Linked DNA regions of Lepisosteus oculatus. The protein of the gene in region 1 interacts with the protein of each later gene in a biochemical or structural test. Links are inferred from orthologs where the notes say so. Each region holds a gene or a part of one and is shown on either strand. Other genes may lie near its edges. The genes, in order: btk and ibtk.

Evidence for each region.
Region 2: the proteins of btk (region 1) and ibtk form a complex in vitro, tested with the Homo sapiens proteins (2 studies listed by BioGRID). The link is inferred for Lepisosteus oculatus from reciprocal best matches to the Homo sapiens genes BTK and IBTK.

What each region holds. Positions count from the first base shown.
Region 1 is NC_090703.1:50,874,280-50,889,950, reverse strand, and holds the start of btk (tyrosine-protein kinase BTK), read left to right. Parts: upstream 1-5,246; 5' UTR 5,247-5,354; intron 5,355-10,495; exon of another isoform or gene 10,496-10,677; intron 10,678-11,812; 5' UTR 11,813-11,869; intron 11,870-13,346; 5' UTR 13,347-13,373; coding exon 13,374-13,514; intron 13,515-13,859; coding exon 13,860-13,964; intron 13,965-14,070; exon of another isoform or gene 14,071-14,874; intron 14,875-15,671. Other genes in the region: rpl36a (large ribosomal subunit protein eL42), read right to left, coding at 236-256, 1,374-1,496, 1,804-1,871, 2,031-2,136, 3,229-3,231. UniProt on the Homo sapiens protein: Non-receptor tyrosine kinase indispensable for B lymphocyte development, differentiation and signaling. Binding of antigen to the B-cell antigen receptor (BCR) triggers signaling that ultimately leads to B-cell activation.
Region 2 is NC_090697.1:31,159,864-31,175,515, forward strand, and holds the start of ibtk (inhibitor of Bruton tyrosine kinase), read right to left. Parts: upstream 8,527-15,652; 5' UTR 8,339-8,526; intron 1,673-8,338; 5' UTR 1,184-1,672; coding exon 860-1,183; intron 391-859; coding exon 294-390; intron 1-293. UniProt on the Homo sapiens protein: Acts as an inhibitor of BTK tyrosine kinase activity, thereby playing a role in B-cell development. Down-regulates BTK kinase activity, leading to interference with BTK-mediated calcium mobilization and NF-kappa-B-driven transcription.

The DNA.
Region 1 (15,671 bases):
ACTATCCCCATTTTGATCTGTTGTTCATATCATAATTTTAAGGTCTTTCACACTTTCATACATGAAATACTCAGCTGTATTGCATCAGTAAAGTGTCAGGTCAGTCACCACCCCTCGTTTCAGTGATCTCTAATTTGACATTAGCATTTTAAATCATGACAATTGGCTCATGGTACATACCAATTTCTTTATTGATATGCTGCAATATCCAAAAAACAAGAAAAAAAGGTGTAGCTCAGAACTGGATGACCTGGCCCTGAAAGAGATGGGGGGGAAATGTCAAATTGCTGTTAAATGTTCACATATTATAAAAACTGCATTAAAACAAATTGGTTAGGGTCACAGAATGTCCTTTTGACACACTGCACTATGATATTAACCACATTGTAATCTTCGTGAAATGCTTACTGAACAAGCTAACCCCAAGAATGAAGCAGTCTGGCATCTCCCTTTTTTGCATTGGCTAAAGTACATCTTTGGCCATGGGCTATATGAAACAGCTTTATACTTCCCCAGCACAGCAGCTCTCCTCACCGAACAAACAAGAGAGCTCAACTGTGTGCAGCACTCAAGAGAATGTCACATCTGCTTTTGTGCAGTGCTACATGAACACTGGAGAAATCCGTAAGGCTCCCGTCAGCCTTCAGCCTTAAGTGCTACAGTCAGAAGTAGCTGCGGAGAATCTGATACAGACAAAATGACCACCCAACCAAGCTCAACACCCTCTGTGCATGAGCATAGACATGGCTTTTACCAGTCCAACTTGAATACTGGACTTCTACCATCTGGATGTGCAGAATGAACTTAAACTTAATTTGAATGGGCAATATTACACCCACAGCTTAATTCTTACTTGACAAACACCATCACAGTTTAAATTTAAATCCTCATTTGTTCAGCACAAAACAGTTTCATTCAACATATAGGCATCTATCTACTGTATCTTGACAGGACACCTTACAGAAGATTTAGAAAGAATGATCAAATTAAATACTACAATTGGCTTCTTCAGGCAAACATTCTACTGAGGTGGTCGCATTAATCGATTTAAACTGCATTCAATATGCAAGAGATCTCCGGCATTAGAGAACAAACCATGGCAACAGCAAGAGCCTTTTGAGCACCAATCTTTAAATGCGAAAAGGCATCTTCCAAACTTCAATACCTCCAAGACGTTTATGGTCAGATGTCTGATACAAGTCAGTTCTAAAGGAAAACAACATTTCGATTCGGAAAAATGATCCCAGCCCCATCTAGCTGGGGTGAGAGACAAGCAGGTGTCCTGAACATGTGGGTGAAATGTCAGGTGCTGAGGTGAGCCGTGCTGCTCAGAACGGCCTGGGCCAATGAGGGGGGGGCTGCTTGCTCCTTACCTTTCTCTTCTTGTCTCCTCCCAGCTCGAAGTGCTTGCACCTCTTGATGGCCAGCATTCTCTTGGACCTGCAATTCGGCTCCACACACTCCAGCCTCAGCACAATCTTTTTGGTGGTTTTAGCCTGTTTTGAAGAGACAAGGCCATTTTTAGGCACTCAATTTGCAACAGGAAGGAACAGGGCTAAACGCTGGAGCAGCAACAAAGGCTAAGCGTTTTACAGAAACCAAACTCATTTCCGACACCACAACACAAATGAAAGACAGCTCTTGTGTTATTCCCAAGAATTTCACAAATCTCAGTAATCAAAAGACAAAACCATCCATTTTAAAAAAATAAAACTGTGATGATAAATAGTATACCAAAGTTATGTCTGTGAAGCAATACGGAAAATGTATAATTCATCAGTTTGTGATAATTAGCATTTATACCTTTTTACGGAATATAGGCTTCGTTTGACCACCATAACCGCTCTGCTTCCTGTCGTATCTTCTCTTACCTGGAATGAAAAAAAGCACTAGATGTTTTAAAAGACTTTAAACCAACGTTTGTACAAAAGGGACAGTACTGAAAGAGAAGAAAATAAAGAACCCTGCTACTGCGCCAGGGCGTCCTGCCAGTGTGGCCCCTGATGCCCCATGCGAGGGCAGACACTCACCCTGGGCATACAGGGAGTCTTTGCCCTTCTTGTACTGGGTCACTTTGTGGGGCTGGTGCTTCTTGCACTTTTTGCAGTAGGTCCTGCGGGTTTTCGGCACGTTCACCTAAACGTCACAATGAGAGGGGAAAAAACATCAGAAAGGGGGCAGCTATTCAACCTTAGCATACTAGGGGACAGGACCTGGAAAACACCAGGTCATTTTAAGCATTACGAGAGTAGAAACTTGTCTCTGTATTTGTCCCTAACTTTTAATGACCATATGGCTACCAGCTGATAATGCATTAAGACCGTCCAGGCACTGAAGGATCCTAAATTAATTCCAACAGCAGCTTCCTTAAAGCTACCCAGCCTGCTCCGCGGCCTGGTCCAGGTCCTGCTGTGTGGAGCCTGCATGCTCTCTCAGAGCATGCTGCTCGTCTCTGCCCGCTCCGGTGTCCTCCCATAGCCCCTAGACTCGTGGCCGGGTCGGACTGGCATCTGAACCAGCCCTGCCTGGCACCCTCTTCGACCAGGCCAGCCTCTGGACTACAGCCGCAGTGGTCTCACACGTCCCTTCCGAGTCCGCCCGTAACCACTCAGCTCCGCTCCATGAAAACAGCTCGGTAAACTTCGCAACAAAAAAAAACTGCAGCCATCGGAGCAAGCTTACCACCCGACCCGTATTGGTGGCTGTCGAAAAGTAGCATTTTCGTACAACTGCCCCCTAAGACCTGACCAGTCGTGTTACTGTTCAAATCAAAGACTGCCCGTGGGCTTTATTAAACCAGCTCTAACGAGCAAGCTCAGACAACTTTGCAATGTGAAAATGACACACGGCGGACCCACACAGCACAAACTCCCAAACACCACTCCGTGGAAATACAAAATCCGCCACCCAGAGCACACAGCAACGACAGCATGCGTACTAAACATGTGCGTTTAAACACACAGCCCAAGGGAAATACAGTTTGGTAACGTATTGCGGAGCGTTCCGACAAAATAAGGCAGCCATTTTCTAACCCTACACTTTTCGGCCCCGCATACAACACTTATTCGTAATGTTTCAGTTTTGCAAACCCAACACCAGCCATAATGGGGTCCACACGTAGCCAAGACACTCGTGAACACGATAACTGTGTTTGGATGCTACAGGGAAACTTCAGGTTGAAAGATTACAATTGATTAAAAAAAGAAACGAGAGCCGAGTGTCGCTTACCATGATTGCCAACCCGTTGCAGAAGCGAAGAGGAAGAGCTGCCCCGGAAGCAGATGCATATATGAAAAGTCGGGGGGAAGCTACTACTCGTGTTCATAGCGCGGTTGTAGGAGACGCGCCGCCTAGCGTTCAGGAAGTGTAAGAAGACAATAAAAACTGCTTCTGTCATGTGCCGCAACTTAATTCCCAGTGCGGAAAGAAGTTTTTAAGTTTTACTCGGCTCAAGAAAAGCTGTTTCCTTACATCTTCTGACTTTCATCAGTGTGAAATATCAGAGAAAATGTTACAAATAATTATGTCTGTGATTACTGGCTGTGTCACAAAGAGAAGTAGGCCTGTTAACGGCTGGTTCATAGCGTATTAAAAGCAGAAAAAAAAACATAAATCAAATTAGCATTAAAATATCACAGCGCAGATAACGACCTATGGCGATGTTTTTGCTCTCGGCTTTGTTCTATGCAAAAAGTGCAGTATATCATCTTGAAACTCCCACCACTTTTTCAGATCACAAACATTATTGAGTTTCCATGCATGACATTAAATATTAAGGAACAAGTGATAGGTTTATTCCATGCTGAAAAAAAGAAGAAAGAGAACACAACGTTTCGGCCGTGGAGCCTTCTTCAGGTGTGTCTGTTAGGGTTGGTGAGGGTGTTCGGGGTGTTGATGGTTTTCTTCTGTAGAAGATGACTGAGTTTTTTGTCCTTCTCTGTAGAGAGAAACTGGTAGAGTTTAGAGTTGAGAGACCTAATGAGGTTAGTTATGAAGGGAAGATGATGTGGAGCTCAGCCGTAGAAATTCCTTAGCCTCTTTGATGTTGTTGTCGGAAAGGATAATCTGTTTTTTGAGGGAGAAAATGGTAGAGAGCATTAGTTTCCTAGAAAATTGTTTTAGAAGTCTCTGAGTGTTACTCTGGGTGGTATCAGAATCAAAAGAAAAGGTATGAAATTTAAGGCGAAATCCTTTAGGGATGATATTATGTCGACGACATCTGTAAAGGAATAGAAGGTGTTTAGAAAGCCTGGTCTTGGAACAGATAGCTGTGAAGAGACGGAATGCTGGTTTAGTGAGAGAAGCGGGCAAGTGGCCCAGGGAGGAAGAGAAGGTATGACGAAGAGATCTAGAAAAAGATTTGGAGGAAGGCATAGTGGGTGACAGCAGCTGTAGGCGGTAGTATCTTCAGACACTTCTTCAGACACACCTGAAGAAGGCTCCACGGCCGAAACGTTGTGTTTTCTTTCTTCTCTTTTCAGCATGGAATAAACCTATTACTTGTTCCTTTGCAGCCTACGCATGCTGACGCAGCTCCCCACCTGAACTATTAAATATTAAGTACAGGCTTCCCTTGTGAGTCGTCTCCTGGCTACTCTCTCGCTTTTCTATGCCATTAAAAACAACAAACTTTAAAAAACCGACATGTATAAAAACACGTTTCTCTGCACTGGTGAAACCGGGGCAGGTGACAATCCCCAAGATATTAAGTGAAGCAAGGAAATGTTTTTCAGTATTTTGAACTTTTGTGAAGAGTTAGGGTTAAAATCGGCTGTCCTGAGTTTGAGGTCTGGTGAGGACCCTGGTCCGCAGAAATTTTGTTCTCACTTATTCTCTTCACTGAAGACTTGTCCTTATATGTTCTGAAGACTTCATTTAGATTTGATGTGATGGAGACAGAAAGACAGGCAGACAGACAAACAGACGATGCAGTGTCAGATGTAATACCTGAAGCAGTAGTAGTTATTCCTTTTCTCAAATCACTAAAAAGTTGCAAAGTCACTACAAGTCAGCATTCAAAATTCACCAGTATTGCTGCCTTCAGGGTTTTTTTAAGGACATTAGATGCCAAAGAGGCAAAGAGGGGTTAAGGTACGACACAAATCACTAAATATGTAGTCTGTCCTCTCTCAACTGACTGAATATCTCAACAAAATGTGAACAAATATGAAAATAAGCAGGAAGCAAAAGGGGAACTAGGCAGACTTAGTTCCTATTTTAAGGGTGGGGCTTTGGTGTCTGCTGTCACAGCCTGAAGAGGAATTAGTGCTGAACAGCTGTGTTGCTGTGATCTGTCGGAGGGCAGCAGGCAGCAGGCAGCCCAGCTCCTGGCAGAGCTCTCCACAAGTGCAAAGGTAAGAGCTGTGTGCTGATGTTATCTGCTCTGTTAGCACTAGGGGTCTCTGTGGGGGGAGGGCAGGATTGCTGGAGGCCACCGGCTTCAGCTCTGGAGAAGGGAAAGAGTTTCAGTCCTCCATCAGCAGGGGTGTGTCACAGGATGCTTCACATTCACAGGTCCTTGTGGTGTCTGAAGGAGCGAAGGCTTACCTTTCTTAAAATATGGATGTCTCTTTTTGTTTTATTCTGAAAAAGTAACTTCAACTTCAGCGAAAGGGTTCTTAATATTAATATTTTAGGGATGCTATTTGCCTCTTGTGCTGGAGTATCTTAATCTTCCTTTCGGGCCAGCTTGGATACCTGTCCTCCCTTGGTCCTCTTAGTCCTGATTCTTTGCCTCAGGATAATGCTCTCTGAGAAAGCCAGCTGCTCTGTGATGTATTTTCATTTCTATTTTAACCTATGTTCTGGAATTTGCATTACTATTATTCAGAAATTGAACAGATTTTGCAGACATATCAGGGGCCATCGGACTGCTGAGTAACTGACTTCAGAAGAGTAACTCTTGTGCTCTGACAGTCGGCCTAACGTTCGGGCTCCTGTACTTCTGTAATTAAGGGGACATTGTATGCAGACTCTGTGCAAGCAGGGTACAGTAAAATGGTTTTGCGATGCAAATGTGTTATTAACAGACGGAAAAACTGTAGGCACTACTCCACCACCATCCCCCCCCATATAAAAAGATCTGACATCCTGATCCAAACAATAGTCATTGTTCAAGCTGAAAATGACAGGCTGCATGAGCCGCCACCAGCTCAGCAGGGCTCATCCATCTGCTGTGAGCTTGAGGTAAAGAAGTGGTGAAGGCTTCAGAGCGGCTCTAGAGAATATATTTAACGCCTGCAGCATGGTTGGGGTTTCCTTTTAGAAATGTGTGATGAATGGTTACATTTTGGCATTAATAAAGAAAACACCAAATAAGATCAAGTTTCTGGTGCATTGCCATTTCAATGCAAAATGCAGAACGTTTCTTACTTTTTTTTTGGAAAGCAGACATGCTCGTTTTCTTAGAACATGCCAGGAAATTGATTTATGCAACCAGACTCTAAACGGGAAATTCTGCTCCTTGCCTGACTACCAGTGTACTTGTGGCTTGTCTCTTTATCTTTTCTCAGCTGTGAGATACAGAGGGAAATGACTCTAGTCCTTGGCTAATGTAGACAGTACAGGACACCATTACAACTCTTACAAAACTATAGAATTGCTGTAAAAAATAACTTTAGCCTTCTGTCTATATAATTTTTATCTTATTTGTTTGTGCCTATCAACATAGAAAGCAGCACAGACTAAAGCTCTCTTATCCTATCTTGTGAGCTGCAGAAACTTGTCTGTTTCCCTGCATTTTCAGACCTGTACCTTAATTGACAGACTCTCTTCCCACACTTTAACCCCACTCTGTGGCAGAATATGTGATTTCAGAAACTGCAACGTTCCATTTTAGAAAGTAAAATGGTTGGTTCAATGTGCAGTTTTAGTGTTGTTATCTAATTTCTGTCTGATGTATCCTGACCAGCAAAGAGACCACAACATCTACTGTATCACGTACCATCAGCTAGAAAAGGCTGGCAGTTCTGTATTTATAAAGCAGTTTCATAACATTTATATGAAAAAGAAAAGTTTTTACTGGTAGAATTATCGGATTTTATTTGTAAATATTCAAAAAGGTTAGATTTGGAGATGGCCTTTAAGGAAGAATATCTTTCATAATTTACACATAGAAAATAACATTTTAATATAGAAAATAATTTTAAAAAGTACTGTGTGTGCATACCCTCCCTTAAACAGCACGGTGTACATAATAAAATAATTATATTATGTTGAATTTTAGTAATTAACTATGAATTTACATGTTAAATGTTTTAATAAAGTCAGTAAATGTATTCAAATCATGCAGATCTTCAAACATGTTTTTAATAACAATATTTTTAATAATAAATATCATGTTTTTTTTTTATTAACCTATTTAGGAGGAATTCTAAATTAGAAGTGTTCAGTCATAATTCCACACAATAGCCTCACTTTATTGGCTCCTTAGCCAACCACAGATACTTGTGGATCCTGGTGCCCTGAGCAGGGTTGTGCTCAATGGATGACATACTGTACTGTAGCTCCAGGTCTGTAGGAATAACCTGTGGGAATAACCTCTTTTATTATTCTTTATTTATCTGCCTTATTTATCTTAGTAAATAAGATATAAAAGAAATAATCTTCTTTAGTATCACCTTAGGTCATCTAAAAAATGTAGAAGTATAATAACTGAAACTGCTGATAATTTAATTTAAGATGCAAATATCATTGCACTCATTGACCAAACAATTTGACCATGATAAGCTGAATAACGTCCTCTTGTATAGAAACGTTCTCTTGCTAAGTACACTGCCATCAGGCCTGGTTTTCACTGAGATAATCTGTTCTTTTAATGTGATAATATTAGAATATTATGTAGCACTGCTAGGCATTGGTAAATTGTTCTTTTCTTTAAAAAAGTCATGAAGTCGTGTTTATTGTGCATTCATATCAAAACACGCTCCAAATGTTATCTGCACTGATGCTTTTTAAGTAGGACAGTTCCCTACAAAATAATCAGCTTATTTAAAATGCTTTTGCAAATCATATAATGCCAGAAAGTTTAGAAAAGGTGCCATTACAGTCTGTGTTGGTTTTAATCTCTATGCTTGGTCCATCCTATGCTACCAGCTACAAAATGTGATTTAAAACTATGAGCACTATTTATCTAAAATGATTCAAGTGATCACATATACCCATATATGAAGAAGCTAGCAGGCTGTGGAAGCAAATGAGATGTTGTTCTGTGAATAATTTGCTGTTCTTATAATCTACGTCTTGAAGTAACATCTTTTGAAATACTTTCGTTATTTGTGAAAGAGAGCAACAACAACCTATTCACGATTTGTCTTTATAAAGAAAATAAAGTACCATGAGCAGCAGAGGACAGTGTAAATGAGGAACTGCTTCTTTTTACAAAACAACAAAACAAAAATAACAGGAGTAGTACTTAACATTTGTTTACTTCTTTCATCATTTTACCAAATTTTTGTGTACCGAAATCTCTCATGTTTAAAAAATGATTTAAGAATAACACAACCGAATAGTGACCGTTGGGCCACGTGTTGCTGACTTTTATGCGCACGTGCTTCGATTAGGCAGGCAGAGCCCGAGAGCGACAAAATTCATTTGTAATCTGTGGAGTTACCCTCCGTAATATCTCTTGAAATACATCTTTATAGAGCCTTTCACATGTATCAAGCTGGAAATTACTCCCTCAAATCAACAATACAGGATGTACAATTTGCATTTTCAGATACCTGGGAGCCTAACAGATTAACAATTGTTTTAATACAGTAGGTAGCAGAAACAATATTTTTTTGTTTTTGCATAGTATGTTTGTTTTTATTAATGAGACACAGCAGCTATCACCTTAAACACACTCTTTCCTTATTTTAATCTTCGCTGCATCAGGAAACTCGCAAAAAGCTAGAAATTCCTTTTAGTTACTTTTTCCAATGAACTTTCTTAGAGAAAAGGAACATGAAGGAACTGAACACTGTTGAATCATCCCTTCATTGTACCATTCTGCATATAAACCAAGAGATTCAACACATCTCCTCACTGGTGTCAGAAATAAAGAAATATACAGTATATTACTGCAGAGTCAGTGGAGTAGGAATTCTTCCCTGAATATGTACAAAATCAATTCAATGGAAGAGACCACGTCTGATGAGTGTCAGCATGTTTTGCACGCACTGAGCTGTACACAGCTACATGACTACAACATCTGAAACATTTCTGTCTCAGTCTGCAAAGTGAAATGCTAAGAGCTTTGCAGATAAGATCCCCACACTGCTGGTTCTAATCTCAAATTTGAGTTTTTTTATATTTATATTAGCATCTCGGGGTTCCTAGGTCCTTTCACAGTATTCTATATAAACAGTATTTTCAGGATAGATTTAATCTAGAACCACAGTAAGAGAAAAGTTCTGTAATTCTCATGTAATCCCAATTAAATGATGTAGGTTCTTGCCTGCTATTGATGCATTTCTTAAAACAATCTATCAATCCACTGAGTGTGAGACCACTTTAGTCCAAACTGTATTTCACAGAGAGAGGGCAAAGCCTGGAAACATCACTCATGTAAAGAGACAACGTTTGTGGAGGACTAACCACACAGAGGACATCTTCTGCCTGGTGTAAAATCAATAGACAATAAATAGGCCAGCCACTGATATGAGCAGTCCATTAAGCCCAGGCTGCAAAGTATAAAGTGGCATAAATGCAGCAATTTAAAAAAAAAATAAGACTCAAATGTCACTTTACAGTGTGCGTCCGGTGGGCCGCGTGCCCTGCGTTACTCGCTGTTGTTATGATTGCTAATTGACTAGAAGCACCCTTGCTGCTTCTATTATTGCCAGGAAGTCTGCGGGGGAAGCAGGTCCTCATCACAGCCCCACGAGCCTGATTACAGGTGGGAGAAGACCCTGCTCACTACCGCAGCGCCAGCGGGACAGTGGACAGTCTGGTGGTCAGAACGATCTCCCAGTTCATGTAGAGAAGAATGGAGGATAGCCTCAGCCCACATGCCTGTCAATGGATATACTGTACCTACGATATACCTAAGACGCACGTGGCTTCCACGCCAGCTCTGGAGCTCATACTGGGTACTAGAAGCCCCCCTTGTGTCTATCTCTAAGACATGGCAAACCCCATAACGTGGTGTGGAGCTACTCTGCTTGAAGGGCGGTAGAGGATCTTAAAAACAGTGCTGCTACACTTTCTTTCAGAAGGGATTCCTAAAGGTGAAGTTTGGTAACCTGTCAAATAACATGCCAGAACTCGGGATAAGAGACTGCAGAAAGGAAGTCTAAAATCAAGGATGGCAGAAACTGGTTCCTCAATTCAGCAGCAGTTTGTGAGCTGGGACCTTCGTTCCAGACAAAAGCTGACATTGCTGCTGGATAAGGGCAGCATGGTCCCCAAGCTGTACATGTGTTTTTCTTTAATGACAGAGGGGGGAAATACTGCATAGTTCACGCCTACAGCAGGGCAGCAACAAAAAACAACAAAAAAAAGCTAAGAACGCAAAACACTTTGTATCAGCAGTTTAGTGCATGATTAGTGTGAAGAGCAGGTGATAATCAGCAACTGAAGAGGCAGGAAATGGTTAGAGGGGTTTAAAATAGGCGTCTCAGCAGCCCTGACAGCCATGCCTCTTCAGAGAGAAAGACGAGCAGATCTTCATTCTCGCAGCTGTAATGTGGAAAGGTAAGGATGCTCCACTGGGTTTCCCGAGCAGCTCCAGCTGGAGGAGCAAGACTGCCATGCTGACGAGGAGGAGGGGTGAGGGCTGGGAGTGATTGGTGTCGATGGAGATGCACCGCGCACCAGTCTTGCATCACTTGACTTCACAGCGATAATGCAGCGAAGACTGAGAACTGTTACACTGCAACAAAACCTCACTCGTTCTAATTCTAGGCACAGACTGCAGACCTTTTCCCCAATACTGTTGGTGTCTTTTATTTTTATTTCATGCAAGACCATTTATATGTGCAACAACAGCCAGTCGAGCTCTTTTAAAAGTCTATAGGAGAGTTAGATACATATTCCTTGATTACTTTATTAGTATGACAGATGTGTGCTAGGTGGTCCTGTTGTAACAAAGAACTGCAAGTGTGGGGGTTAACCTAGCCTGCATTGTCATGAAAAATAAGTGCAAACCTTGTTTTGTTTTTTGGGCTCTTTTGTTTAGCAAAGTTTGCATATGGCTTTGACAGTTTCACCACGCACAAGGTGCTTACTGTAAATGGTCAGACTGTAGGTGTTTTACAAATGCAAATGAATTCGCCATTCAAGGTAAGTTTATTTGGTTGTTTTGTTTAATGGTTTGAAAATGGTTCTTGTAAATAGTGGATGTGTTGTATTATACAAGAGCCTCTGACTAAACAGTTTTTGGCTGGACTTTTCATCAATAATAAATAAATTCTATTAGAAATTTAGATGGTTTATTTATGTGCCCAAAATAATTATTAAGCTGTTCATGAATGTTGGGAAGTAGCCAACTGTTACTTTCTACACAGCAATGTGAAAAAGAATATTTAAACTTTCTGTGTGCCAGGAAAATATATGCAACAATGTCTGAAAAAAAACACATTTATATTCAAATAATAAGGATGGCACATGGAATCTTTATCAATGCACACGAGCAGTTTAGATGTTGAAATTTAGAATGTTGTTCACTAGTTACATTCAAGTTACAGTATTTACAACACATGTAAAGCCCAGGAAGCTTTATCTAAGGGGAAACTTCTATGAGGAAATGTTTTCAAAAAGGACATTATTTGCATTATAAGAGGCACATGCAAATTCTATTATATTTATACACAGATATCTTTCATTTCAGTTTCATTCAGAGAATTTCCCAGATGTATTGCCTTTCCTGAAAGCCCATCACCAGCAGGTAAGTCATGTTACAGCAACATAAGAATGTTTCTTGAAGGAAACCAGGGTTTGAACTTCAACAGGATGGCTGGATAGCTTATTCCAGACTCCCACTACACTTTGTGTAAAGATTAATATCTTGTAATCTTGTGTATTGGTTAAATGCACTCTTACTGATGTCTTCTGGTTCAACAGGCCTTACTGTTGATACCAAAGAAACCCATTGGGTTGCCTTTATCAGTGTCTGAGAATTGTGAATACTTTAATCAGGTCTCCTCATAATGTGCTGACAGGTTGGATGACTAGTCCATAGGATGTAATGGGTTAAAACATACTGTACATGAGAGAAGGTCTATATTAGAGGTAACACATTTCACCATCTCTGAACTGATCTAACAGCTTTAAGATGCTAGTGTGAAAGTTGCAACTGTGCTGGGTGGGTGTGACTAATGAGAGAGTGTGTGTGATCCCATGGAGACATGCCAAGGCCTATAGCAGGTTTACTGTAGGTGGAAGTCACCAGATCTTTAATAAAATAACATATGCAATAAGGTGCTCAACACAATAGCACAACACAGAGAGTACTTTAAATGTAGAAATGTATTGGTTAGCATTATAAAATCTGCAAGACATATTTCCTTTTTACTAAATGATAGAAGAAGATGGTAAAATTAAATGTATAATTAATAAGGTTGCATGCTGAAAGGGCCTTCTCTCTTCACAATGGTCACATAAGGGAAGGGTGAGATACTATGTTTGTGCTACACTGATGTGCAGTATACAGTAAGTCTCCCAGACACTGAAAGTCTGCTCAAGCCAGGAAGCTAATTTTGCACACCAACGATTGCAGGAGACCTGTGCCATTAATGACTAGACTTGAAGTACTGCACGTCCTTTCTGAATCATCTAATCTGTGTGAGGGTGCAAATAATATTAATTAATACACATTGTATGAACTTAGGGGCAATATCGGCCTTGACATTTGGAAAAAAATGTCTGATAGGAAAAATGTACTTATACACCCATGCTGAGCCATAGTTATTTTATGACACTGTAGAGAATGCAGCTGTACTTTCTGGATCTTTATCTTAAGTGGATGGCTCTTGCCTCCCTGGTTTGCTCTGGAAGGTCCTGCTGCGCTGCTTGGTCATGCACATAGAGGGTGATGTGCAAAATACCTTAATGCTCAATGGTATCATATTGCATTTCCAATGGTCACTCTCAAACAAGTTTTACAGCCATTGCTTAGAGTCATTTCTGTCAGCATCGTGTATGTAGAATTACGTGAAGAGAGTCACTGCAGCCAGCATGCTATCGATTTAAAACAACCAGTGCAGGACTCTTGTGCAGGGATCACAGTGAGATGGTCCTGTTTGAGATGGTCCAGACCCTGTTTGAAAAGGTCATGTTGCATATCCAGCAGATGGGCTTGGTCCCCTGCGGAGAAACTGATTCTTTGTCTTGCAAAGTGAAGGACTGCTGTCCTGTTGTTTCAGGTAGACCCTCAGCTGTAGGATTAGACCATGTCAGAAAACATCCTGGAAGAGATTTTTGTAAAACGCTCCCAGCAGAAGAAGAAAACCTCACCGCTGAACTACAAGGAAAGGCTCTTTATTCTGACGAATGACAAGATAAGCTACTATGACTATGATTTTGATAAAGGGGTATGTAAAGCGCTCACCACAGTAGATTGTATAAACCCAGAGGAGGCAGGGGGATCCATCATCAGGATGAATGTCTTGGCTTTTTCGATGCTTGATGTTTACTTGCTGTATGAGCTTGCTAGCTGTGTCCTCTGGTTCGTGTTTCACTGTTGATTCTGAAGGGCTTTCTCAGTGTGCCTGACAATTTTGACTACTTGAGTCAGGCTCCTTCATAGTGTGCTGACAGGATGAATGAACCATCCAGAGAACACGATGCCTGATCACAGTATGGCAGTGCTGCTGCGGTAAATCATCATCGCTGCAGCTCACCTGTTGCCGTAATCTGATGGTGTGTTTTCCACTCAGAAAAGGAAGAGTTTGAAAGGCTGCGTGGAGGTTGAGAAGATCAAATGTGTAGAGACGGTGCTTCCAGAGGAGAACGCTCCTGCAGACCGGCTCTTCCCATTCCAGGTATACAGCAGGAGTGGCAGCCTAGCTCCCATCAGCCCCTGCAGCCATTTTCCCAAACATGTTACCCTCACAGGACAGCTACCCCTGCTACACAGCTGCCCCCACATCACACCACACCTACCCCTGCTACACAGCTGCCCCCACATCACACCACACCTACCCCTGCTACACAGCTGCCCCCACACCACACCACACTTACCCCTGCTACACAGCTGCCCCCACATCACACCACACCTACCCCTGCTACACAGCTGCCCCCACACCACACCTACCCCTGCTACACAGCTGCCCCCACATCACACCACACCTACCCCTGCTACACAGCTGCCCCCACACCACACCACACCTACCCCTGCTACACAGCTGCCCCCACATCACACCACACCTACCCCTGCTACACAGCTGCCCCCACATCACACCACACCTACCCCTGCTACACAGCTGCCCCCACACCACACCACACCTACCCCTGCTACACAGCTGCCCCCACACCACACCTACCCCTGCTCCACAGCTGCCCCTACATCACACCACACCTACCCCTGCTACACAGCTGCCCCCACACCACACCACACCTACCCCTGCTACACAGCTGCCCCCACACCACACCACACCTACCCCTGCTACACAGCTGCCCCCACATCACACCACACCTACCCCTGCTACACATCTGCCCCCACATCACACCACACCTACCCCTGCTACACAGCTGCCCCCACACCACACCACACCTACCCCTGCTACACAGCTGCCCCCACACCACACCTACCCCTGCTACACAGCTGCCCCTACATCACACCACACCTACCCCTGCTACACAGCTGCCCCCACATCACACCACACCTGCCCCTGCTACACAGCTGCCCCCACATCACACCACACCTACCCCTGCTACACAGCTGCCCCCACATCACACCACACCTACCCCTGCTACACAGCTGCCCCCACATCACACCACACCTACCCCTGCTACACAGCTGCCCCCACATCACACCACACCTACCCCTGCTCCACAGACACCTCCACATTACACCCAAACTGTTCAGCAGCTCATCCCTAATAGGGAAGCAGCACAACAAAGCAGAGAAGCGTCACTTCAGTCTTTTAGTTCTTTTCAATTCAGTGGTTTCTCTTGGAAATGGACATGTTTTTTATTATGCAGTAAAAAAAGGACGCGCTCCTCTGTGTCATGTTGTGAGCTGTGCTCCTCCCCTCTCCCTCCATGTGTCAGTCCCTCGATTTGGAGGCTGTTGAGTCAGTTTCTCTTCCTCATTTAGTTAAACTCCTCCACCTCTGGCCCCTTCGGAGACTCGTGGCATGTTCAGAAGGCAACAGTGATGAAGCAGCTCATGACCTTAAGCCCAGACCCACATCTCCCACTCGGCCTGCACACAACAACATAACAATAAACCTGTTGTTGTTTTGTAGATTTGATTTTTTTTAAATCTACTACTATCTAATCTAGGTTTCTTAATTACGTTTTATAAAAAACACATGCAATGCACATGTGCACTTCTTGCAGAATGAGCTGATCTCAGTACCATTCTGTGGAAAGCTGCCCATCTGGAGAATGGGTTTTGTGCAGTGACACCAGGAGGAGAATGAGGAAACACTAAAACAAAGCGAGTCATCTTCCTCCTGACTCTGCAAACCCTTCCTGTTTGTGCTTGTGCTCAGCCTTTCGTCTGCAAGATTTGATTTGGTTGG
Region 2 (15,652 bases), on another chromosome or scaffold:
TTGCATTATGTGGTATCATTTGAAAGATGAGAAATGTATTTTACTGGTAATAACATTCCCAAATGTGCAGTAAAGAGAGAAAACTACAGCAACATTGTCAGACTGGTTCTCCATTGACCATCATTAAAAACCTATAGTTTCATGCATGAAGCACAAACTTGGAGATACACATAAAAAAATGAAAATAATAAAAGAGAAATTAGGGTAAAAAATAATACAGCTTAAATAACAAAAGCGCATGCACCTTATTTTGAAAAAAAAATCTATTCAGATTGAAATTTCCTCACACTTACCAGAATTTCTAAAAACAACGTGTGCTGGTCTATCTTTCATAGCCAAATCCAGAACTGAAAGCCCTTCTTTATCTTGAGTACTGAGACAGCCTCCATGCTGAAAAAAACAGAAACAAAACTAACGGCATTTAGAATTCCCTTACATTAGGCCATCAGAACACAACTAGGCCAGTGGTCCATGCAGTCTTCATTTTACATTATCTATTTCTTACTTTATACTAATCAATAAACACCTTAAGCACCCCCTAAACTAATGAATTATCTAAAGGACGTCAGTTGAAATGTTATAAATGTATACATTATAATCTACAGGAACTATTTCTACCTGTAAATACCACTTGGTTAAGGGTTCTTACCGTATATCTCTACCTGTGATTGTTTTAGCTATACAGAATATAGCATTAATTTGTCTTAACTCCGTTAAGCTACACTTAACAAATACCATTAGTTGTAATTATAACTCCAGTTACTGCAGTACAACTGTGGTAATAATTGTCAAGAAAAACATATAAACACTTAAAATATGATGTCAAAAAGGAAACAGAATCAACTTCCTTAGCTCGTACCTTAACGAGCGACATGAGGCAGTGAATGTGGCCGTAGAACACACTCCTGTGCAAGGCCGTCCATCCTGATTCCTTGTCCTTCGCCAGCAGGTCTGCTCCTTTCACCTCCAGGAGCCAGTCCAGAAGGGACTTTTGCCCGAGCGAAGCTGCAAAGTGAAGGGCCGTCCGGCCGAACTCATCCTTCAGCGTGGCTGCATTGTGGCAACGGGCTGTGAGAAAGGCCTTGAGCTGGCTTTCTGTGCCCTTGGTCAGCGCAGAGATGACCTCCCGAGCGTGCTGAAGAGACCGGCACTTGGTTGTGCAGTCTGGGGGCAACAGGCTCATTCTGAATTGCCTCAGTGAGTCAGTCCCCGATTTTTCCTAGCAATACTTTAGTAATCCCTACTAATCCTCTCCAGAAAAAGAGGCTAACTCTTACGCTGGGAAATATGGTAAGAACCTGAGCCAGAAAATCAGCAGGGTGCTAGAACTGTGCTTGTGTTAAAATCCCACTGCACGCTAGCAACCCCACATTGCCCCTTTTCAGTTCATTTCAATCCAGCTTGAAAACTGCGATACGCAGAACATAGTAGAAGAACACATTTGGCACTTTATGCAGCATCAATAAATAAAGTATAAAAGTTTAGAAATATATACTTCTGTTTTCAATTTACAGTTTTGAGTGCTGTTTTATTTTCAAGTGTTCCGCAAAGGCAACAATTCTGACAACCTTCAATCAATTCTTTCAAACGAAACCATCCGGCAAAGGGGAAGAACCCCTTTCCCCCCCCAAACGCTCAAATCCTTTTAAGCCTCCATGATTGTAGAGGGTACCTAAAAGGAAGTGGAAAAGAAAACTTGTCAAGCTTGAGGCAAAAACTGAACCACCTTTACTGTCTACAGTGGTTTCTAACTCTATACAATTACTGAAACAATTTAAGAGCATATGATTTAGGCAGAACACTACAGTCACAACCACAAGTGAAATAAGTCTATTAAATTGCCTGGAATGTCTGGTACTGCTCAATAAACTGCAAAAATGCCTTCAAGTCCCCGTCCCAGCATAAACATTCATTTAATGGGATATTTACACAAGGGTCAGGTCTAAATGCAAAAGTCTGGAATTCAAAGAATAATGAACAAATAAAGTCTAAACAAATAATGAAATATAGGTTTCAATTACACTTCTAATAGGCTATCTGTGATCAGAAATGAATTCTGACATTCTGTACATCATTCAGTAATTATATCTTGGCCTGTATGACACATTTGTAATACTATAGAAACATTCTTTCTTAATCACTGTTCTAACACAAAATTCCATTAATACATCTGAAACAAGTTGAACTCAGATTAAAAATATCAATGAATTTACAGAGGAAAGGACAAAATAATTATTACTTTCAAATCTTTTTATAAAATCTACAAGTTACTAACACAACATTGGGAACAGAGAAAATTTCTGTGGCTGGGATATAAAAATCATGTTCAATTTCAAATTCTAACACTACAAAACAATTTCAACCCTGCCCTGCCAGGGAGTATAGTACTTTTTTTAAACATGTACCAAGAGTTTAAAAGAGAGGATTGAAGCCAAGACCTCTAAAAGACCTGTTTTTTAAAAACAGAGAAAGCAGATTTTTCTAGCTTTCACAATAGCTGGTAAATTAAGAATATTTTTCAGACCATTTGAAAGTCCAGCCTCTCCAGCTTTCCTTTCATTGTTATTAAGTAACTGGCCTTATTCTACAACTCGTCCTAATTAATGTACTTTAAAAGAGAATGTTATATATTCAGATGTAAGAAAATTGCGCTTCTTAAGTTTAATGAACACTCAAACATCCTGGACAGTAGTAGTTAAGATCTTTCAGCTAATAAACTAGAGTAATTTTAAAACACTGCTTCTGAACCCCAGTCCCTGAGGACTCCTCTATCATCAGATTGGTATTCCATCTGAGAAACGAAATGTCCCCTTCAACTGAACTGCTGGCTTCATTAGACCTTCCTGAACTGTTTTCTGCACGACTGTACGTCTCTCTGGTTTCAAAATCACCTTGCCAAGAAATTCAACAAATATAAATCTGCTAATCTTTCAGCTTGCCTATTCAATTTCTACTCCCCTATAAACTGTATGAACATGTCTTAATAAGTGGCCAATTCATGATGAATAATGATTCAGGAATAACACAGACTCAGCCACTGCCAGATCATTCAGTCTTTGCTCTCCATGTGTCCCTTTTCCAGACACATAAACGGGAGGAGCTCTGAAAACTCAAAAACTGATACAGGTTTGATGTTAATTCCTAACCCAAGTCTATGCTTCAACAGCAAAAAACAGTTTAGAAAATAAAAAGGTCTGATCAAAGAAGTATAGTAGTTCAGTTCAAGGCTTTAATTAGCCTAAGCAATTAAAAGCTCAACTTCAATGAAAGCCAGAAGACAAAGAAGCACACCAGCATCACAGTTGAGAACCACTAGTTAATTAAAAATGAATAATCATTACTTACTTATAATAGTAATAATATTTGTCTTTTGAATTAACTATGTAGCATAGATATATTCATATTCCATTGTGAGATTTTTAAAATAATTCACAATATATCTTTTCTACTTATTAGTAACTGTTTGTTTTTATGCATTTATCTAAGTTTATGATAGTGTTAGACTGTTTTGTCTATTTCAAAATATTTGTCTCTCATGTGTTCCATTCAAAATGTTTGAGTAGTCAGTACCTAATGGGTAAATGTCATTTAAGGTGATGAAAAGCACATATGCCTGTACACAATGGGATTGCAGTCAGATTTTGATTGGTTGTCTTGGTTGACATTATTTAGGGTTATAAACCCACCTGTTCCTCAGGCAAAGGGGAAAAACAGCAGTAGACAAGGGAAACAGAAGAAGACAAGACTACAGCCAGAGGTCACCAACTGCAGATATTAGTGGAGACTCTAGGAACACATCTTCAGCTCTACAGGTAAAAATGTAGGCAACCAGACAGACATTACTTCTTAATAGTAATGCATGCTACTGTAGTGTTAGCAAACTTAACCATTTTCAATTTCATTAGTCACCTTCACTGTACATTAAAAACTCAACCTTGCTGCCTGGGCACATCTCAGATAGGCCAAAGTGCTATATGTATCAACTGATACAGTCTAATTAAGCTAATTAGAGTTTTCATCTGACTGTGGGGAATGATGCTACATTCTTTGATAGTCTCCACGTCCATCTCCCTTAGGGTTTGCGGATGCCTTCAAAGACCCTGAACATGATAATCAGTGCTGTCCCAGAGATACCAGGTCAGACAAAAGTAGGACACTATCCTACTAATCACTTTCTGGAAGAATTGTGGTTGATTTTTTGTCTTGGAGTGACATATAATCACTAAAAAGGTTAGTGAGGATAAATATCTCTAATGTGGCATTCTTAAAACAACACTCTCAAAGATGATGGAAGGGTCTTAGCAGGTCTAATAACTCTGAACTATCCACTTTGCAGCTTATGACCAATTATCTGTCAATTTGCTTGCCAACATCTTTTGAAGCTTCAGGTGTACTAGAACATCATTCCTTTCTGCTTTACACAACCAAAGTAACATAAAACGTAAGGGACAGTTTTGTCATTTTCCAACCATCTCTCTAATCAAATACAACACATATTCAAAAACACTATGTTAAAAACACATGCAGACTACATGTACAGTATCTTTTGCCAGGGAGTATATCACACTGTGTTAAGACAACTTCTCATCAGCAGCTGAGAAAAAGAAGTTGTAAAATTTTAAGATATCATATACTTGTACACTCATGTATAATCCATCAGAAGTTATTGAAATTTCAAGATAAGCAAATGCTTCAAACAAGTTTTTGTTGTATGGCAGGTGCTTTGTGAGAGAATTAAACTACTATCAAGACCTGTGTAATTCACCAGAACAACTGGTTTCAAACCAGGCTGTGGAAAGCATTTAAAACGTTTTTCAAATGATGGTTACTTTAACAGTGCAGCAAGTTTGCAGGACTCATGGCTCATACAAAAGTCTCAGTATAGCTGTTGGTATTTATCAAAACAATGGCTGTGTTTGAAGTATGACTGATAATATGGTTACAACAGTAATGAGGAAACAGGAAAGAAATTCCACCCAAAACCTGAAACACACTACCACCGAACCCAGTAGCATCTGCAATTCAAGACATGCCGGAGAGTACATGGACAAAGATTCAAAGCCAATAGAAACTTTTCAGTCTATAAGTATCTTATCCCTCTTCTTGCAGAGACAGAGGCAATACAATACCACACAGTTATTTAAACAAATACATACAGATTACTGTATTTATTCACCAGCATTCTAATTTCAAATCTGATTGATGAAAAGTACTGGTAATAAAAAGCTTCAGATTTTTTATTATTAAAAACTCTATATCGTGATACATGTCGTTACCATCCAAAATTAGAATTATACTGTGATTTAAATTTTAGGCCATATCGCCCAGCCCTATTTTGAAGTGGTGCATATATCAACTGTCACAAAGCAAAAATGTCAACCTTTTTAGACAGAGATATTAAAGAACCTCACAGCAAACAGCTCCTAAAAGCAAACAATGTACCTGACAGTGCAGATTCTGAGTCATTCTGACTAGAGCAGAGACATTTGCTTTGTTGGACTCTTGTGACAGCACATGCAATTTTTACATCAGATAGGATGTTGCCAACATTGAGTGATGAAATTTATCTTCAGCTTTCAACAGATTCAGTCCCTCTTCTGAATAAGTGTACCTAACGAATTATATAATGGAAGTACAAATTCTAGCTGTATCCTTTTCAAATCCATTACAGTTTATAACTACCTCACTGTCTGGCACAGAACAGGAATGACCAGACTTGACTTACTGTGTATTGTGCAGGTTTTGTGGAGCCACCCATGTTTAAGGTTTTAACACAGGAGTCTCAAACCCTCATCCTGGAGAACTCGTCCAGTTAATCCTATAGTGCACCCTATCACCTGTATTTTTTTAATTATTTGATCATTTGAAAGTTTTTGAACAATTTATCAAGTCATTGGTGATCCCTCACAGTCAAAGAGGGTCTTCCATAAGCCCCTAGGCGCCTGATCATTCCGGTACAGGATCTGCACTCTCTCTCGCAGGTTGGGTGGGTGTTGTCTCTGAAGATATCTGGTTTTGTAATGCACATTCTGGTCAAGGTGAGACATTTTCACTGTGCTTTCTTATTCTGGTCTCTTTGAGTCTGAAAGTGCTGGGCTCCTTCCCAGATATTATTCCTCCAACCAGTTCGTTCAAGGGCCATAATACTCTGGGAGCTGATATGATGCAATGCAACATTTTACTTTTACCATATATTAAGAAACCTACACCTGTCCTCTGGTGCAACTGCCCAAAAGAGAACCACCTTTTGAAGCCTGGATTCTGACATCTGAACAACGTCAACCAAATAGCAGAGTTTATAGTGTCAGAGCATGTGCTGTCTCCTGGGGACAGGACACTACTGTAACGCTTCGGGGCTCAGGCGGGCGCCCTTGCCGCATTAGGTCGGCCCCCCACCGTCGGGGACTCGAACCCGGGATTCACGCGTCACTCAGCAGGGAGCCAGCCAGGTGAGCTCAAGAGAGATCTCTCCACAGCCCAGGGGCTGTGGTCCTGCTATCACAGGGAAGGGCGGCGACGTCACCGCTCTGGTAAGCCGGCTCTTACACAGTACCTGTCGGCCGTATGCGTTACACTACATTGTTCACATAAGGTAACTCAGGTCCTTGAGATCTGATGTGTCTTGTTCCAGATGTTGCCTGTTGGTCGGCGCTGTTGCCACGCTGAGTTTGAGTCCAGTCTGGGGACCTGCTGTGTGGAGTTTGCCATGTTGTCATCGTGGCTGCATGTGGCTCTAACAGGCGCTCTGGTCTCCTCCCTAGGGTAGCCGGCATCTCTAAATTGTCCCCGGTGAGCAGGATGCCAGTCCATGGCACTTGTCCAGGGTGGATCCTGCCTTGCGCCCACTGTCAGGTTGGGCTTTGGTTCAACAGGACTCTGTGCCGGTCTAAGTGGATTTTGAAAATTGATGTTTTCTAAGTTTCTTAATTTTAACAAAATATCCACTGAACAATGTCAAATTTTTCCAGGTCTTCAGAAATGTATAAGTTAATGATTACCTATAAAACCTCCTAAACAGAGACTCTCCAGAAAGAGGGTTGGAAAACCCTGCTTTCAAAAGTCACTTCAACCAACACTTTCTGCTCAACTAAACTCAAATCCCAAGTTCAACAGACTAGTGTCTTACAGTTCAGTGCATCTCTAAGCCTTTGCAATGATTTCATCATGTTATATCAATGTGAACTTCATGTTAAGCCTACACAAGGAAAGGACTTGCAGCCCCTCCACAATATTAAGATTCAGGTTGGATTTTACTCAAAGTAGCCTAAATGTTATGTTCACCAACATGAGCATGTCTTTGTTTAATAATTCGTTGACAGAAAAATCTTTCAATAAAAGGGACAGAAATCTTGTGACATTCGAAATGTTTTGAAGGTTTATCTTTAACTAATGCATGCAACTTCAAAACCTCAGTGCCCCTAAATTGTGTCCTGGGGGTATACCCACTATATATCATTGAAAAAATACGACTATGCTCCGTTAACATTTAGGTCGGCCTTTTTATCTTATAGATATTAATTGCAGGGAACGTACGAGAATAAACGTTTGTGCCTTCCAGTATGTACTGTACTGTAAACCTGTCCATACAGTTCAGTGGTTCATTAGCACCGACGTTCGTATTTGTTTGGCAAAACTGGTTAAGAAGAAGCCTGTGGAGCATCACGTGCAAAAGGATTAACTAAAATACTACAAAGCAGGCGTGTGAAAATTGTCACCTGATTCGTAAAATGAAACTTTATAACAAACAGTGCAAGTTCCCATGGGTCAAAGACATACATATTGTAAAAATTAAACTTTATTAAACGTATTACACTAGGACTGAAGGTGACAGACATGTAAATGAGACAGCACTTTTCTAGCTATATCCCGAATTCCTTAATAACTCCTAAAGTGTTAATTGAATGAGTAAGCTAAAATATTTCTCTAGATAGCCATTGCAATTGGTATAACAAAATAAAGGTCTTCGTTATTCAAGTTGCACTGAATATTTTCGGCGTCTAACCAGCACTTACGCAAGTTATGTATTTTCGATTTGTTTTTTGCAGGGACACTTTCTGTGGTGTCTGAAAATAGCTTGTATTGAGTAGGATACGTTAACTCACTGATAACATGAAGTTCAACACTTAACATGAGAAAGATTACAAAAAATCTATCCTACAAGTGAATCTTTTTATGGTACTGTTGGGGAAGGATAATGACCGAAATGGGGTGTGAACCTCCACGCATGTTAAAAATATTTATGTAATACCGAAAATGTTCATAAAGCCAGACTGACTTGACACATCATCACTATGGATTGTACTCGTGAACCAGTTTTCAATGTTGGCAGAAAGCTTACCTGTCGCTAGTTGAAGGCGAAAATGGTGCATTGGCCACTCTCGTGGGTACTTGTCCATAAACTCATTTTTCAATTAATATACTTCGTACGCTGTACAAAATAAGCTTTTGACAGTTGCACTGCAAATTATTAGTTAAGCAAGAACCTCTCTTTGCCCATCAAACTTAAGAGACCGAATAACATGAAGCCATCTGATTGGTAGAAAAATCTAGCATATTATTTCGCCATTGGATAAACAACAGGAAGCTTTAAAAGGCCTTAAAGGGGCCGTGTACCCTCTGCCTTGGCCTATTTATACACATAGGTTTGACATAAGTCAATAGGCACTTCAGTTTGGAAACAAGTCAGCTCTGGAAGAGCCCAGGAGAGTGGAGCGGCTCTGGACTTGTAAACAGAGCCAAAATCCTGTGTGGCAATCCAGGTGGGGCTGCACATTGGTGGTGGTGGAGGGGAGTAAAATGCTTTGAATGGAGTGTCTAGAAAAGCACTATATAAGTGTAAGCAATTATTAAATGTGAATTGCTGGGGATAAAATAGTTGGCTCAATAAATTAGTAATAAAAGGACTGGGATAAATGATTCCATAAATATCTTAATTAATATTTAAGAGAATACTCTAGCGCTCTATGGTTCACGCGGGTATGCGCCCTCGCCACTGCCGCCTCAGGTTGGCCCCCCGCCGCTGGGGACTCGAACCCGGGCCTCTGGTGTCACTAAACAGGGAACCAGCCAGCTGAGCTAAAGGGAAATCTCCTGTCAGCCAGGGGGCTGAGGTCCCTGCTATTCACAGTGAAGGGCGGTGACGTCACAGCGCTGACAAGCCAGCTCGCACAGCCTCTGATGTTGGCCGTATGCGTTACAATACTCTCTTTTATCAGTTTGCTTTATGTGTGTCAGGAATACTTGTTTATGGCTGTGTTGTGTAGTTGAGATAACAATCCTAAACACCAGCCCAATTTGAACATAAAGGAGAGAGTGGATTTAGTGGGGCAGTTTGGTGGGGATAGAGCAAGGTTAGTGTTGTTGTCTGGTAAATGATATATGATGCCAGGCATTACATTTGTTTACTGTGTTGCAAGGGTAGTTTTAACTGGGGATTTCTTATTTCCACGAAAATACTTTATAGGGTAATTTTCATAGGTAGGCAGAAGCTGTGCTCAAGCAGTCTAGATGTTTCAGACTAATGTCACTTTTCCTTTCCAAAGTGCCCACAGAGAGATGTATGTGAAACAGCAAGAATTTCTTCCATATAAGATGAGAGTACAATAACCACGGAAGTTCTAGATTCCACAAGAATTTCACTTGCTGTACATCCATGTTGATATGGGACCACTCTGCCAACAGCAGTAAGAGTCACGTAGCTTCTTACAGACTGAATTGTTTATCCTGCTGTTTATTATCTACCAGCCACTGCATTGAGTTGCACTTAGGTTACATGGGTATTGTTGCCCTTCACATAAACTCGATGGTTTTCTATTTTTGTCTTTATACAATGCACCAGAGGTACATTGAACAAATCTTCATACCTCTTTTCAGGTTTCTTGCATCAGTTCTCTTTCCAATAGTACAACACAATAAGGAATGTATAGTATATTCTACTTCTTTATCGTGTGACATACAGTACTTATGTCAAGGGTCTTTATTATACCAGATGATCTAACGTTTTGTTAAAAAGATACCTTATGTGGATGAAAATTTGTCATCAACTGTGTTGGTCGACAGTCTCAACAATCTCCCAGACTAGTAGCATAAGTAAACATGAAAATACCGTTCAGCTATAGTCACTGATTCACCATTTTATTGTAATGAGAGAAACGAATTCCCAAGCTATCAAAGCATTCTGAAACAATATCATTTGTTTTCTAAGTATGATGCAATATTCCCTAAAAAACACAGTGGTTCTTTTAATCACACATATCCAAACAATCTTTACAAATATTGAGAAAAGCAGCAACAGTCGAAACACAAAAGGAACACAAAAATATAAAAATCATTTATTTGAAAGGTTTATTGGATTTGTTGACTGATTTGAGAAAATTGATGCTTATTCTATCTATGAAAATATTAAACTTCTCCTTAAAAAAAGATCTGGGATTGCAAACTTGCCAGTCAAAGCTTAGTGTTATGCACAATGTTATGGCTGCTCCTATAACAGTCAATGTAAAAAAGAAAAAAGGTGCTGAACAAAATGCTGCAAGATCACCCCGTGCTGCAAATATACACTGCATAGCTCATAAATTGAATCTGATTTTAGTCAAGGCTTCAAAGTAAATGACGTAGCAAACGTAGCAATTTGTTTGCAATCTGGAGGATGTGTTAACCTTCCTTTTACAGCCTAGCATGCATCATGCCTATGTACTGTATGTAGAGAGCCACAATAAAGGAGAGACTGAAAGTGAACATCATGTTATTGCCAGAAGATTTTATTTAAATTAATTGCATTTTAATTAACAGCTAATATTTCATAATTACTTATAATACTAATGTTTCTTTCTTCTTCATTTTTAATACCCATACTCAAATATGCAGGGCACTGCAAAAGCATCTTAACCCTATCTGTGGTGTACAATTTGGTGAAATTATGAAACGATGCATTCACATTTTCTCAAATGTAGTTTTTTCAAAACCCAAACTCTCAGAGTGAAGATCTCTAGGAGAGAAAAGAGAAAAGTCTATGAAGGGTATTCAAGTATTCAAACTTGAAAATTCAGTGTTTGTTGAAAGCACCTTTGGAAGCAATTGCAGATGCAAGTTTGTTTGGGTAAGTCTGTTCCCGATCTGCATACTGGCGATGAGCATTAACCTTGTCTTCTAAAGAAATGACCATGTGGGAAAATCCATCTCCCAACATTACAGAACCACCAGAGCTCTTCGCTGTTGGAACCGGCAACACTGGGCTGTAGAGTTCTTTAGATTTGCGCCACAAGCGCTTGTCCGCTTGCCCAGTGACAGATTGTGAAAGATGATTCATCTGACCATATCCCATTTCGCCATTGCTTGGCAATCCATTGACCATTCTTTTTGGACCACTGGACTTCGAAGCTTGGATTTCCGGGTGTGATGAGCAGTACAGTGCATATACACTGCATTCTGACTATGGAGGTCCTGACAGGCCGTCTTTGACAAAACTCACTGCTTATGCTAGAGGTTGAAGTCTGCAGCCAATTGTTCTAGAGTTGCTCTCTTGTTTTGTTTTTGTCACGGATGTCGGAAGGGACGAACCGTGGAATGACAGGAGAGCAAAAAGACCCTATACGTAGCAGCGAGACGGGGGTTAGCCCGGCCTCAGCTGTTCAGAGAATGCCATATAGAAACCTACAGTATGCCCTCAGGTAGCAGACGTGGGACAACCTGGTGCCAGGCGGGTTTCAGGACATCCGAACGGCAATGCTGAGCGCCGGCAGAATGAAAGACCCGGAAATATATAGCCCCAGAGAGAGACAGGACAGAGAACGAGTGCCCTCTGGCTACAGAGGGCATGACAGTTTTGCATTTCAAACTAATGCACAGATATCACGATCCTGGAGTATGCACTTACGCCCACTGTTGCACTTGGCTTTGACTCTTTCCCTCTGAGTTACTGTACATGCTGACACCTCCTTGGACACCATTGCTAGTGAAACATAAGCAAGTTACGCTGTCTTGGAAACTGAAGCTCCTGGCAAGTTGGCTGTAACAGTCACTTCTCATTCCAGATCACCGAGTTCTCATCTTCCGGACATGTTGGCAATAATTTTAGGCAACCAGCATTTTTATACATGATCTTAAGCATGCTGGTGTAACCCTGTCTTAAGGGGGCCGGGTATTAGAATATTAGTATTATTAATAATGGTATTAAGCTATATTAATAACAGATTATCAATACTATTCATAATGAACACAATTGTATATTGATAATATTATAATATTAATAATATGATTAGGTATTAATAGTATTAATATACTGTATGGGAATTAGTATTAGGTATCTAACTACCAGCCTGCACAAGGTACTATTCCCGACTCCTGTGCCCCACACCTCACCACCTGGTTACACTGGGATATGATTTATTGACAGTAATTAATGCATAAGCTTTACTTATTTGGATACCCTAGCTTTCAATATATTTGGTCTATTTCAAAGTGTCATAGCTGCTCTAAAGCAAGAAAATATGAAAACTTTGTTTTGAGACTGAAAAGTTTTGTGATTTAATGGACATTCGACAATAACAGACACCCTTCTCTTTTATTAGTCCATTAAACAGAGGATTTTTTGTATATCATAATTGAGCAAAATGAGACTTTGTTGGGAGGAGATGAATGCTCTTGCAAGGCACTATATTTTGTAAAAAATGTTTTCTACTTGAAGCTGATTTTGGTAGTTTAGTTTGCCCTATGTTAAACAATTCACAGTTAAAAAAGTTTTAATTATTGTAGTCACTGCCTTTAAAAGTAATTAAGACAAAATTAAGTATTCAGAAAATATATTTTAGTAATTGCTTGTGATCTAATGTTAAACGTTTATTAAAACTTGAATCTTTGAGATTATCTAATTATTCACACGCCTTTTATCTATGCTTAACATACTGGAATATTAAAAACACTTCAGCTCAAAGAAGTACTCATCTGACATTCAAATGGGAGTGGTTTGGCAGACCAAAAGGTCATTCTTATTTTCATTTAGAAGGGTTATAATTTCTTGCCAGTTGTCACAAGTCCTGATGAAACCTTTAAGTGGACCTAAGGACATACAGTAGGTGGATTTTTGAGACAGTCTTTCAATTTCTCTCACTTCAAAGTTCTCACTGCCTTCAAACTTGTCTTTATAGGTGTCAGCAGAACCAGTTATGGGAATTAGCCCAAACATTGGCCAGAAAACACAGCACAAGCAAGCTTCGGGTACCCTTTCTAGCCATTTCCCTTTAAAAGCGTGAACAATATACTGTAGTCCTAAAAAACAGCTCAGTTGTCTGCAGTCTTTATGAATTTCTTTGCTACGCCAGGTTCAGTGTCCTAGGAGCATTAGATAGTTCTCTAGTGTATCACAATGCCTGATGCACTCCTCCTAAAATGACTGTCAAATTTGAGACCTACAGTATGACTGCCCTCAGCTGGTTTAGCCCAACCATCAGTGCAGGATGCTGGGGTAAGGCAGCTAGCACATTCAAACATAAGCTAAGAGAAAGAGGGGAGACCTTAGTGCAAGGTAAATAGATCTATTTGGACATTGTGTGCCTCCACCTTGCATAACATTGTGCAGTTATAGTTAACTTTGGTTAGAGTGCCCTGTTCATTAAAGAGGACGGGTGGTTGGGATACATAGTATTGTTTAAAACAAAGGTCACTACTGGAAGAGGTGTTAGTGGGGCCAGCAGGGGGCACTCACCCTACAGTCCCTGTGGGTCTTAATGCCCCAGTATAGTGACAGGGACACTATACTGTAAACAGGCGCCGTCCTTCAGATGAGACGTAAAACCGAGGTCCTGACTCTCTGTGGTCATTAAAAATCCTAGGGCATTTCTCAAAAAGAGCAGAGGTGTAATCCCGGAATCCTGTCCAAATTTCCTCCTGCCCCTTACCAATCATGGCCTCCAAATACCCTCTATGAATTGGCTTCATTACTCTCCTCTCCTCCCCACTGATAGTTGATAGTGTGGTGAGCGTTCTGGCGCACTATGGCTGCCGTCGCATCATCCAGGTGGGGCTGCACATTGGTGGTGGTGGAGGGGAGTCCCCATTACCTGTAAAGCGTTTTGAGTGGAGTGTCCAAAAAGCGCTATATACAGTAAGTATAAGCAATTATTATTATTATTATTATTATTATTATTATTATTATTATTATTATTATTATTATGAGTGCCTGTGCACTTTTAGGAGAAACAAAGACTTCAATTCAAGGTATTGTAGTTGTTATTATTGCTTATTTGATACTATCTACTTAAGATCTTGATCTTATCTTTCAGATAAGAAAGTTTAAAGAAAATTACTTTAGAAGCTCTATACCTTCAGTTGGAAAAACCTGCACCAGTTCTGTTCACGTTAAACATTTCAGCAAGTGGTAGCTTACTGCCAGTTCGTATGATATCTAAAGCTCTTCGGTGCCTAGATGACGTGAAGCACCGCTCGGTAATATTATCACAAAACTGTTATGTTTGGATAAAATCTGGCAAACAAACAATATAGAATCTATTACATTGTCAATAGCATTTATCAATGCTTTTCATTGTATCACCTTCAAATTGTTTGGTTGGGGGAACGTCAAAATCCGATACCCAGAGAGCTTCAGATATTGTTTGCAAGACTGCTCAGTAGATATCCAGCAAGGGCTATGGTTAACATTCACACTCTACTTAGACAATTTGTAAGTTCAGCGCTGGATGTTGGGGCCCAAGTCAACTTTAAGACAAGTGCTTTTTTGCTTCTATCTGAATTTTTTTTTCGGAGACTCTTCGGTGCTCGGATTGCGTGTAGCTCCGCTCGGTTATTTTGACCTAAAACTGTGTTGGTCGTATCGAAACTTGCAACCAAACATTACAGAATCCTTAACATTTGCAAGAGCTTTTATCAATGCGTTTTATTGTATCACCTTCAAATTGCTTGGTTGGGGGAACATCAAAATCCGATACTCAGAGAGCTTTACATATTGATTCCAGGACTGCTCTTAGACACCTCAGCTAGGGTTATGGTTAACATTCACACTCTACTTAGACAATTTGTAAGTTCATCACTGGCTTTTGGGGCCCTAGTCAACTTTAAGACAAGTGCTTTTTTGCTTCTATCTGAATATTTTTTTTCGGAGCCTCTTCGCTGCCCAGATGGCACGAAGCACCGCTTGGTTATTTTGACCTAAAGCTCTGATGGTCGAATTAAATGTTGCAACCAAACATTATAGAATCTAATACATTTACAGATGCGTTTATCAATGCTTTTTATTGTGTCACCTTCAAATTGTTTGGTTTGGGGAAATTTTCAAAATCGGATACCCTGAGAGCTTCTGATATTGATTGCAGGACTGCTCAGTAGACACCCCAGCTAGGCTTAGGGTTAACACTAACAGTCTACTTAGACAGTTTGTAAGTTCAGCGCTGGATTTTGGGGCCCAAGTCAACTTTAGGACAAGTGATTTTTTGCTTCTATCTGAATTTTTTTTATCGGAGACTTTTCGGTGCCTAGATGGCACGGAGCCCCACTCGGTTATTTTCACCCAAAGCTGTGAAGGTTGAATGAAATGTTGCAACCAAACATTAAAGAATCTATTACATTTGAAAGAGCATTTATCAATGCTTTTCATTGTATCACCTTAAAATTGTTTGATTGGGGGAACGTCAAAATCCGA